Linked DNA regions of Caenorhabditis elegans. The protein of the gene in region 1 interacts with the protein of each later gene in a pairwise test. Each region holds a gene or a part of one and is shown on either strand. Other genes may lie near its edges. The genes, in order: nop-1 and lron-10.

Region 1 (6,300 bases):
TGTATCCTGTGAAGTAAATTGAAATAGAAATGAGGACAATAAGAAGAAAAATTAAATATAATTTGAAAATGGATCACCTTTCTTTTCGAAAGACTTTAGGGAGATAGTTGAAGCTTCTAGAGAAATCTAAAAGCACGAATGAATGCATAATTAATCGATAAAACAATTAAAAGGCTCAAAAATTAAAAGAAAACTCTAGAAGCTTCATAAATAATATTCTATACGAGATAAACTTCCAAGCTGCGATATAATGCGAAAAATTGAATTTTGTCTACGGAATTTTCTCTCAAAGGAATTTTCCGAAAGTAACCAGACAAGCTCTGAAAATTTTCGGTGACATAGAAAATAGTTTGCTAATGAATAAACAAAGGAAAAAATAAAGTTATAGGACCTCCAGAACCTGCTGGTTGAAAGTAACAAAATTATTTCTTTCAACAGGAGACTATTTGAATTAAAGAGATGGATTTTCTACAATAATTGACGTAGATGCAAACTTCTGTGGACCGTAGAAATCTGAAAACGCGTTGCCGAGGTAAACCAAGCACAGAAAATATTTTTACAATTAGTTCACAAGTTTTGATATTTTTAAAAACACGAGTCCACAGGAAGAAGTTACGATTGAGATATACATTGGGTTGAGTTGCAATTTGAAGTTTAGAAACAGCGAGTAAATACACATAGAGATGGTGGAGTCCACTAATTTTGAGTTTACGAGAATGAGTCCTTCAGCATTTGATAGTATTTGAGTACCCAATGAGTCCGATTTAAATGTGTACTTTTGGCAACCTCGGCTTCGCGGCGATTAGTGAAAATAGATAGGAGAGGTGTAAATGCAACTTTAAAAAATATTTAAATAAACTAACCAGTCTTAAGAACGCAAATCCTTTTCCAGATAAATAGCACTCAGCAATATCTCCATGTGGAGAGAAAAGTTCTTTTAGCTCGGTTTCTTTAACTTCATTTGGCAAATTTCCGACGAAAAGCCGACATCTTCCAGTGAACTTCTTTTTTGGAACTTCATCCATCAGTTGGGACTCAGTGAACGCTGCTCCATTGAAAGAAGTTCCACCACCACCACTTCTTCCACCACCACCACCGCTTCTGTGTCCTCCATTGTTGTCGTACGGCTGTTGAGCCGGAGCAATTCCACGTTCGGCTCCACCGCGGTTGCCTCCACCTCCGCCACCACTGCGAGCTGCATTGTTGGAATTTCCACGCCTGAAAATATAAATTGTACAGAATACCAACTAAATATGTAAAGAAAAACTTACTTTTCATCTCCTCCGCGATTTTCCCTCCCTGGTTTGCGATCGTTTTCCGCTTTTGCAACTCTTGATGAATCATCACGACCATTTGAACGCCTGTTGTCTCTCCTTGCACCACTCATCTTTTAGAAGGTTTTTTGTTATTCTCCTTCTGCAAAATTAAAATAAATAGTTTATTAAAAGAAAGAGATTAGTGAAAAATGAACGGATCGATAGAAAAGGGTGCACACGCGGCTGAACGCAGCGCGGAGAGACGCGTCGCGTCTTCCATACTCTGTCTTTGAGTGGTTAGAGAAAGTAGAGAGGGCACAGAGAAAAAGGAGATACCGGAAAGAAAACGAACGCGTCGAATTAAAATAAAAAAAACATTCACAGAAGCTGAATGATTTAAACATTTATGACTGCAATCGGGTTTATTAATCGATGTTTTTTTTAATTAAAAACCCGGTCAAAATTGCAAAAATAAACTAGAAAACAACTATATTCAAGAAAATAAAAGCCGCAAAAAATTTGTACAAATTCGAATTAATTCATGATGAAAACTTTCAAGGCGCACAGAGTTCATCAAAGCAAGTGTCCTGCCACGACAAGAAAGTTAAAGGAAATTTAATTAATTCAGTCGACGGGTCTCGTTACGATTACCGTAGTAAAACTGTTTTTGTGTTTCGCAATTTTCTCACGTTTCTCACGTTATTGTGTTCCATCGCTTCTAGCAAAAACGGGCTCAAATTTTCGGAGTCGAAAATAGGCAACGACGTCGAACACGTTCGATTTACACGCTTTAGAAGAAGTGTAAGTTTTTAATTTTCAAAACAAGAGCCACTATCTGTGAGAGATTGCTAATTGTAAATTAAATTGTTGTTCCATCCAATAATTCAATCGTTTGCATATTCATAATTTTTTCTCGGCTTGTTCAAAATTAAAATTAGTTTAAAAAATACCTTTTAATCAAAAGATTCAAATAGTCTCGTCTTTGGAAAAGTGGTTGAATTTTCGAACCGAACCGAACTCTCGACCGAAAAAACAAACTTATTATCTTACTTACTAACTTGTTAGCAATACTCACAATACGTCGCTTGTTCTCATTCTTATGGCTGTGAGTAAGTGTGGACTAGCCATTGCGCTGGTTGGCCTAGCAGCTGCGGTATTGTCCCGCTTACCGCGTCATTCAAATAAAAAAGTGTTCTCCTTCAATTATCGACCCATTTTTCAGCATGTCGGCGCCGAAGAAACGAAAAAGCGACATTCACGTAAGTTTGAATTTAAATTATTTACAAATTAATTGATGTATTTTGCAGAGCGATGATCGTGATCATGCAGATCACCAAACGAAAAAGGAGAAACATTGGTTCGAGGAGGTATTTATTAATCCCTTTAGATGTATTATTAACTCGTTTTTTTTTCAGAAATCTGAACAGAATGGCGAGAACCGAAGATCTTCAATTTTCAAAGGATTTCTCAAGAAGGTGAAGAGCTCCACTACTTTGAAGAGCACCAACAAATCTGCCTCATCTTCAAAAATGGACACCATAGCGAATGAGACGCATCTTTCAATCACCAGTGAATCAAGCATCACTTCCGTGGAATCCTGTCACAGTGCACAGTTTCCTAACGTCGCGAAGAATGCGATGCTTCGTACTCTTGTCAATAGGGATTCATTCACACCTGTTCCACCTCCAGACGGTGAAAGTGTGACTTTCATATTGCCAGAGATAGGCTCATCGAAACTGGAATTCACTTCAAAGATGGATGATGCGATTTCGGTACGAGAAAAGCATAGCAAAATCCACTTCGCAAACATTTATTTCAGATTGAATCTCGAATGTCTATTGGATCTTGCCACACTATCGATGAAGACTCTGCTTCCATTGGATCCACCTCTGTTTTTTGTACTCCAAGTCGCAATCCATTGATGAGAAATGGATTACGTATGTCGACTAGAAGTGTTCCTGAAAACCAAGATGATATGCCTCCAGCACTATTCCGATCTCTTTGCAATAGCGCTGTTCGTCGAGTTCCCACTTCAAAATCTGAAGGTGGTGGTACTCCGATGCGGCGTTCCATGCGGATGTCCATTCAGAAACGGAACTTGTCTTCGAAAAACATGGAAGATGTACCAGAAGAAGAAGCATTGACGGTCTCTAATAGTTCGGTAAGAATAAAATTATATTGAAATTACATTATTTATTCGTTACCACTTTTTTTTCAGATTCGTGTTGATGCTCCAATTGCTGAAGAAGACGAAGAAGTGTTCGGGGCGGCTAAGGAATATTTTGACAACAATGTCACATCACACAATGATTCAGCAGATGAAGGGACATGCTCAATGTCACGACTTTCGACGACGTCCGAAAGAGCTTCTGGTGTTGGAGGATCTAGCATTGTGAGTTTTTTCTGATATCGAAGCGTCTTTGACGAGTGTAATGTATAGTTTCAGGGACGCCGGAGCTCAATTTTCCGAAAAATCTTCCCAGGAAAAAGTGAATCGAAGGATCGGAGAATGAGTGACAACAACCAAGCGTCGGAGCAGTATATGGACAAAAAATCAAGACGGGCATCTGTAGTCTCTTTCAACGAGTTCACATCTGTCAGCGGACTCTCTGTAAATGATTCTGCGAGCAAAAATCCGAAAGACTTGACGGAATCACCTCAGCAACCAAAGCTTCGAAAGAAAACGGCATCTTCTTCTAATCTGTCGCAACGTATTTCTTCAGTTTTCCGAATGGGCTCAAATTCGACAGTGAAATTGAATGAGTATGTTCCCAGTCCAATCGTTTCTCAATCGTCGCGTCGCAATACGCTCACTGGGAATTCGTCGATTTCATCTGGAGTCGGAAGTATAGCCAGTGGAACATCAGATCAAGGATACGGGACGATTGGGTCTAGATCCGGTCAAAGCATATCAAGATGTGGATCGAGGCGTGATGATGAAGGCAAAAAAGGTAATCCCAAATGATTCAAATATCCTGTTTATAGAAAATGTATTTCCAGAACGCACTCGACGCCTTCTGGACCGTATTATCATTTCCGATGTTCCAGCAGGAGAGCTTCTGAAATTAAAAATTGAACAAGTCAAAAAGCAGAAGCAGTTGGAAATGGATGAGTTGTTTGAAACTCAACTCGTAAGTTGTATCCGAGTTGTATGAATAAATTCAATACAATTTTTTCCAGACTGAATCGTCGTCCTCCGACACTTCTCAAAGCGAGAATTTGCAGTTTGATGTCGTGGCTGTTGATATCAAGGCAGATGGATCTCCATGTAAGCCAACATTTTATTGCATAACGATCCTCATATTCTAATTTGACATATTTCAGTTTCCACTACTGCTGCCACATTCATGGACAGTGAACTTTCGAAAAGGGTGAAAGAGGAGATCGTGTCAAATTATCGACCTGATCGCTGCGGATCAATCACCGAATACGAACCGGAGCTCGTGTTTGTGATGCCTGAGCAGCCACAAGCGAGCTTGAAAAGTCTTAATGACTCGGTTTCCTCTAATGGTAAATATTCTCAATTGAATGTTGATTTCAATTTTTTTGAATTTCAGCTGACATCAACCTTGATCACCTTCGGAATGTTAGAAGTGGCTTGTGCAAGTCGATTGAAGAATGGAAAAGGATCACAAAAATGCGAGAATCATCTACAATGCTCATTTATCCAATGTTCTGCCAATCAGAAGAGGAATGGGATTCAAAAGGAACCATCGACGCAATATTCCTGATGCTCGATGGAATATTAATGAATACAAAACGATGGATGCCGAACGGAAAATGTATTCTCGCTGGGGTGACTCCAAATAATGTCATCCTTCTACGCAACAAGTTCGATGAACTCAAACTGTCGGTTGCAATCTCCGAATCTGATGGGCCGGCAAGTTCAAACGATGATTTCGACACTCAATCCACAGCGAGCACTTCAACTGTGTTTGGAGCTAAAATTTGAGCTGTGAAATGTGTGTCTTGTTGTTAAATGTATTATCGATCTCGTCAATTTTCAAAATTTCTTTCAATTCATGTTACCTTTCTCTTTCCTCCTCAAAACGGTTGATATATTTTTTTGTGTTTTCATAGCAAGTTTTATTATCTAAAAATTAAGCTCTACACCTTTTCATCCTTGCATTTTTCTCTTCACTTTTTGAGGATTACTGTGAATAGAATGCCCCTGATGTTTCTATCCTCTTTCCCTCGATTTGTTCGTATTTTTTTGTAATAAAGTGTGTGAAGGCTTACTATTTTTTTTTGAGGAATTTTTGATTTTCATGAAACGTCCTTCATTTTTGGAGTTTTGCAAAAACGAGGTGAATGAATTGATTTTTTCAATTAAAAAAAAAGAAAATATTTCATCTCTCAACTTTTCCATCCGATATTCCAATTCGGATGGACCGGTTAGTTGTTGCTCAATGGTTGATCAATCGATCATTTGAGATAACTCTGCGTCTCTTAATCTTCTATACTATTTTATTATCTTTGTCTCAATTGATAAAAAGAGAAACAAGTGTCTAATGAGAGAAAGAAATATTTTTGTGTCCATCGGCTCTTCTTTTCTCATCCACTTCAATTCGATGTTTGTCCACCTGTTGTGAGTGTACCACGTGGAAGTCCGAATTCCACGAATTTAATTTTATCAACGGAATATTTGAATTTCAAAAATGTGAGCACACGAAAAAAGTGCAGAAGATAAATTGAAAAAGAGATAGGTAATCTGATATCATAAGTTTCATCTCTTCTCACTTATTTCCTTTGCATTTATCACTTCAAGTTCATTTTATCACCCTTCTCTCTTATTATTTGTTTTCTTTATCCTGGTTTAACCGAGATTTGTTTTATGGGATTCTCGCTGATTATGAAGAAAATTACGGGTTTTTTTGCGCCAAAAATACGGTGACGCGATAGATTTTAGTTGAATACAAAAATGCGCAGATCTTTAAATAAAAATAAAAAATTTTTTATCAAAAAAGTATGTCAAATTGAAGCAAATTTCGCAATAACAGAAGTTTGAAGTTACAGTACTCTTTAAATTTAAGTTTAAAGGGTA
Region 2 (4,809 bases), 4.7 Mb from region 1:
CCAATTTTTCGAATATTCTGCAGCTAATTTTCTTGCCATAATTCATCTGAAGCTTCACCATCATCCGTTCAGCCTTCGGATCGATTCGAAATTCACATCCAACAAAGTTCTTCTCCCCGAACGCGACGCCCTTGAAAATACGCTGAGCTGACTGAAAAAAAATTAAATTTTTGCCGAAATTTCTGAGATTTCTCCCCACTTTCATCGATAATCTGCAAATATTCACTGCTTTTTTGTTAATCATTGATACATCGCAAGCGTTGAAAAATTCTGGTGCAAAGCGGAACACGCAGAACTTTGAACGGTTCACTGTTTTGAAGAAGAGCTGGAAAAAAACAAAAAAATAATTTTTTAGCCGAAATTTGACTTTTGACTCACCCCGCCTTCGGAAACCTCAATTAACACGTCTTCAGAGATTTTGCTCAGCGCTGCGATGGATCTTGACATAACTGAAAGAAAAATAAATAAATAATCCGGCTAAAACCCAGAAAAAGTCACTTTTAAGATTGGATTGGACCACAAATTGGGCGCCTTTCATATCTTCATGCTGCCTTTCCCTTGTTATTGATGACGATGGATTATCTGTATAATTTTCATGAATGGCTTGCATTTGATTTGAGATTTCCCTGAAATTTCAAGGTTTTTAAAGAGAAAAATTGAAATTCAGAATAAAATTTTGAATAAAAAAGTTTTCCTCTCGAAGTACACGGACGAGAATCCCCCGTCGCTAGGCCATGCGCTGCGGACTCCTCTCGAACGATTTTTTATTTTTTATTTTGATTTGTTTTGTGATTTCTGACATTTTCCCTTCTTTCCCGCGGCGCATGCATTCTCGTGTTTCCACAAGAGAACCGGTATCCCGTGCAGAACATGAAAAGACGAAAAGAAAAACCAGCGATGCGTCATATATCGTTCTTTTTATCCGTCAGGAGGTACGCTGGACATGATAAATGGAGTTTTGTTCCAAACTATTCGGTGTCATGTGCTTTTTTCCTCTTCATTGCTCACACATATCCGCTTCTTCTTCTTCTTCTTCTACCCCGCTTTTCCAAAAAAAACGCAATAAATATTCTTTATTCCTCAGGCTAAAGGTTTCCTGGAGCATCAAAAATCTCAAATTTCGTGGAAAAATTTTTTAGATTTCAGGTTTTAGGCTTACTCAAGTTGTGGAATTTCTGAATTTCAGACTAATTTGGGTATTTTAAATCGAAATCATTATTCCTAAATTCGGTAATTAAAGTCGATTTTATATAATTTAATCGTAGTACTTTTGAGCAGGGCCCTGCAGGGGTGGGTTGCCGTTCGGCAAATTGTTTTGTCGACAAATTCGGCAAATCGGCAAACTGCTGATTTGCCGGATATCAATTTTCCGGAAGTTTTTAAAGGGATTATTTTATAAGTCGGAAGCACTTAAAACTGCCTTTTTGAAATGTTTTCCCGTTTTCTATAGATATTTTCATAGAATTTCCTTAATTTTCAAAATAGATGTAGGAACATTCATAGGATGCGTACAATCTTGCCGATAAAATTGAAATTCTGAAATTTCCAAAAAAAAATGTGCAAAACCACAATTTGACGAAAATTTTAGGCAAATTGGCAATTTGCCGGTTTGCCGATTTGCCGGAATTTTTTACCCCTGCTTTTGACCATTCAAAATTTTCAAATTAAATACCTTAAAATCCCATTAACATAAAAAAAAATGGCATTCCACTTCAAGTACCTCTACGCTGTAAACTGTGGTTGTAAACTAACCGGACCCCCATCCAAATCGATTAAACCACCCCTTCTCCTTTCACATCTGCGTCTCTATTGATATGAATCACTCTCTCATCCAAAATGCCCAACAATCATTTTGTTCCATTGTTTGTTTGAATGTGCCATGTCCACTCTTTGGGTCTCTGTTTGCTTTTCCAATACACTCCTTCTGGATATATATTTCATTTTTGTTTCGTTTAGGCATGACCTCCATCACATCTGCATTTCTTCTTCTTCTCCTCTTTGTGGCAGGTAATATACATAGTTTAAAAAAAATTAATACATCGAAAAAGCAAATCCAATTTATACAACAATATCACATGCATAACTATACAAAAATTTCTCACAAAAAATATCATAGAAAAGAGACCATCTTCAAGTAATTTTGCGGGAAATTATTTGCTGTAACTTTTTACTAGGTATTTCATTTTTAATTCATTAACATTATACAACTTATTCTTGAAGCCGAAACTCTCTATCCTAAAACATGATTTTAAAAGCCACTAATTTCTGAATCGTATTCAAATTTCGCGATTTCAATTTGGATCTTCATAGGCATTTTTAAAGTTGTATTTAATTACAACACGTCATTTTTTCAATTTTACAAGCTAAGAACCTGTAATCTTAATCATCACCGTCTATGTATGCGTATATACGATTTTTAATTACGCAACATTACACGAACGGAGTCTCTATACAAACATAGCGGCTATTTTATGACACATCATCGTGAATTGAGAGATGATACATTAAAAAGTGAACTCTGGGAATCTAGAATCTAGTTTGGATTGTTTTTTGAATTACTCATCATAGTGAATTCATGTGAGTCATGTAAAAAATTGAATGAACAATTGTAAAAGTCAATCAATGGAATGGAATTTGCTTCCGAAAAATGAATGAATACTGCCGAATTAAAAAAGAACATCTAGTAGTTGAAAAATTAATTTAAAAAAACTGAAAACATTTAGAAAATTATTTAAAAAGTATATTTTCTAGCATTTAAAGCAAAAATTCTTCTCCGTCTTTATTTTCTGATTAGTGCCTATTAACGAAATAAACACATAAAACAATTAATACATTCTAGTTAAAATAAATCTAAAATTCCAAAATGTTCAGTTGCCTGCCGATCAGTTCCATGCCTGGACGGATGTACGTGTGAATTGTCAGAACATGATCCAGTGATCAGATGTGATGGCGTTGGTCTCAATCGTTTCCCATTGCCCCATTCATCACCACTTCGCGGTTTCCATTTCCTGGCACTCACTTGCAATGACATTGACACAATTCCGGCGATTAGCATGATCAAAGCATCATTCCCAGATCTTCAGGGAATTGATGTGCAGGGAAATACTCGGTTGAATTGCTCCGATTTGGTGCATTTGCACAAGGATATTCCAGTTTTGTCGGATTGTGATAATGAGAAGCCGTTGCAGTGTGATAATCTTGATAAGGTTCGCGAAAAAGATTTGAAAAATAGAAAAAATAACAGTACTACCAAATTTCAGAGAAAAGCGAAAATTTTCGATTTTTGGTTTTTTTTTCTAATTATGGGAAATCAGGGAAAATAAGACATTTTCTTCCGAAAAATCAACAAAAAAATGTACAAAATTATACGAAAAATTTTGATTTTTCGATATTTTCAAAAAAAAAATTGAAGAACCGATTTTTCATGGCACAACATTATTTTTTGCGGTATAATATAAAAACGATTAAAAAAAACGAAAAACGCGAAAAATCGAATTTTTCCAGAATTTTCAATAAATGACACTCGGAATAGTTACTAAAGTGCAAATTGGTTTAAAATATTTACATTTTCCTAAAAAATTAAAAATTGGATTTTTTTCCAGAAACTTGAATTTTCTACTTAAAATTTGCAATTTTTCCTTTACATTTTACCGAAAATTTGAAAGTTTTCAACAAAACATGATTTTTTTAACCTAAAATTGAATTTTTCACCTGAAAATTCTAACGTTTTCTCAAAAATAAATTTTTCCGACAAATTTAAATTTTTATAAGCTAAAATTGGAGTTTTCCCTGAAAATTTGAAATACCTTAAACAAGTTTTCTTGGCTGAAAATTATTTTTTTTTAATAATAAAAATAGTATTAAAATTGTGTGCTCCTCTCGGAAAATATCACAATTTTTCATATCAAAGATCCAATACCTTAACCTTTTTCAGAACTGTGACTGGAAGTGCCGTACACTGACAAAACTCAAAGAAATGTGGGCTCAATTCAAGGATCTTGTCAACCGAAAAGCCAAAGAATGGCAAGCTGAGGAGACGATCGAGGCGGCGAAAAGCTGGTTCAGTGCTCAATTCAAAAAGTTCAAAATCGCGATTGGCGAGCTCTCCGACTAATTTTTAATTGAAAAATTGTACATATTTTCCTATAACCCTTCCTTCCCAAATTTCTCTTTCCCCATTGGCCAAAACGATTCGCATAATTTGAAAATTGTTGTATCTCATTGTTCTCCCCCAGCCCTTACTTAAGAGATTACGGTAAAAAACAGTATTCACATAAATTTCTATGAATAAAAAACTCATTTTTAAAAAAAATTTTACCAATCGATCAACAAAAATTATAACAAAAAAAAACGAAAAAATTGTCTAAAAAAGTTCCTAAATACTATATTTAACGGTTCGAGAGCGAAGATAATTGTAGTACTCGTCCATATGATCCCAACCATTTTTCTGTGGATGACGTTGTTTTTGCTGTGGAGCCGGACCTTCTTCTAGACGGACGAAAATGTGAATGTATCGGTATCGAATGGTGTTCCAGTTGTCGTGAGCGTGACGGCGGGCTCCTGAAAAAAAGTGACTTGAAAGATATATTTTCCAGAAAACTCATTGAGAACAAATTTAAATTTCTTCTGATTTTTTAATTCTGCAAAAAAATCAGAGAAACTGCCGAATGAATGTTCTAGATCCGATATTTTTGCCTTTTTCTGGCTAAATTAATCAATAAAAATATTATTATTATTATTTTGATATTTGATTTGAAATAATAAATTATTGTTCGTTCGATTTTCAGAGATATTTCTTCGTAAAGAAAA

Evidence for each region.
Region 2: the proteins of nop-1 (region 1) and lron-10 interact in a two-hybrid assay, tested with the Caenorhabditis elegans proteins (one large-scale study listed by BioGRID).

Annotation. Positions count from the first base shown.
Region 1 is NC_003281.10:5,956,829-5,963,128, forward strand, and holds nop-1 (Pseudocleavage protein nop-1), read left to right. Parts: upstream 1-1,893; 5' UTR 1,894-2,057; intron 2,058-2,478; 5' UTR 2,479-2,479; coding exon 2,480-2,515; intron 2,516-2,563; coding exon 2,564-2,623; intron 2,624-2,671; coding exon 2,672-3,028; intron 3,029-3,075; coding exon 3,076-3,417; intron 3,418-3,474; coding exon 3,475-3,648; intron 3,649-3,696; coding exon 3,697-4,207; intron 4,208-4,256; coding exon 4,257-4,387; intron 4,388-4,436; coding exon 4,437-4,524; intron 4,525-4,580; coding exon 4,581-4,766; intron 4,767-4,813; coding exon 4,814-5,208; 3' UTR 5,209-5,494; downstream 5,495-6,300. Other genes in the region: nono-1 (RRM domain-containing protein), read right to left, coding at 1-6, 864-1,218, 1,272-1,387. UniProt on the Caenorhabditis elegans protein: Required for formation of the pseudocleavage furrow during the first cleavage of the embryo and also mediates aster-induced furrowing during cytokinesis.
Region 2 is NC_003281.10:10,617,358-10,622,166, reverse strand, and holds lron-10 (eLRR (extracellular Leucine-Rich Repeat) ONly), read left to right. Parts: upstream 1-1,956; 5' UTR 1,957-1,958; coding exon 1,959-2,007; intron 2,008-2,871; coding exon 2,872-3,206; intron 3,207-3,934; coding exon 3,935-4,114; 3' UTR 4,115-4,301; downstream 4,302-4,809. Other genes in the region: Cell cycle checkpoint protein hpr-9, read right to left, coding at 37-151, 200-325, 379-449, 499-610; mrpl-22 (Large ribosomal subunit protein uL22m), read right to left, coding at 4,376-4,560.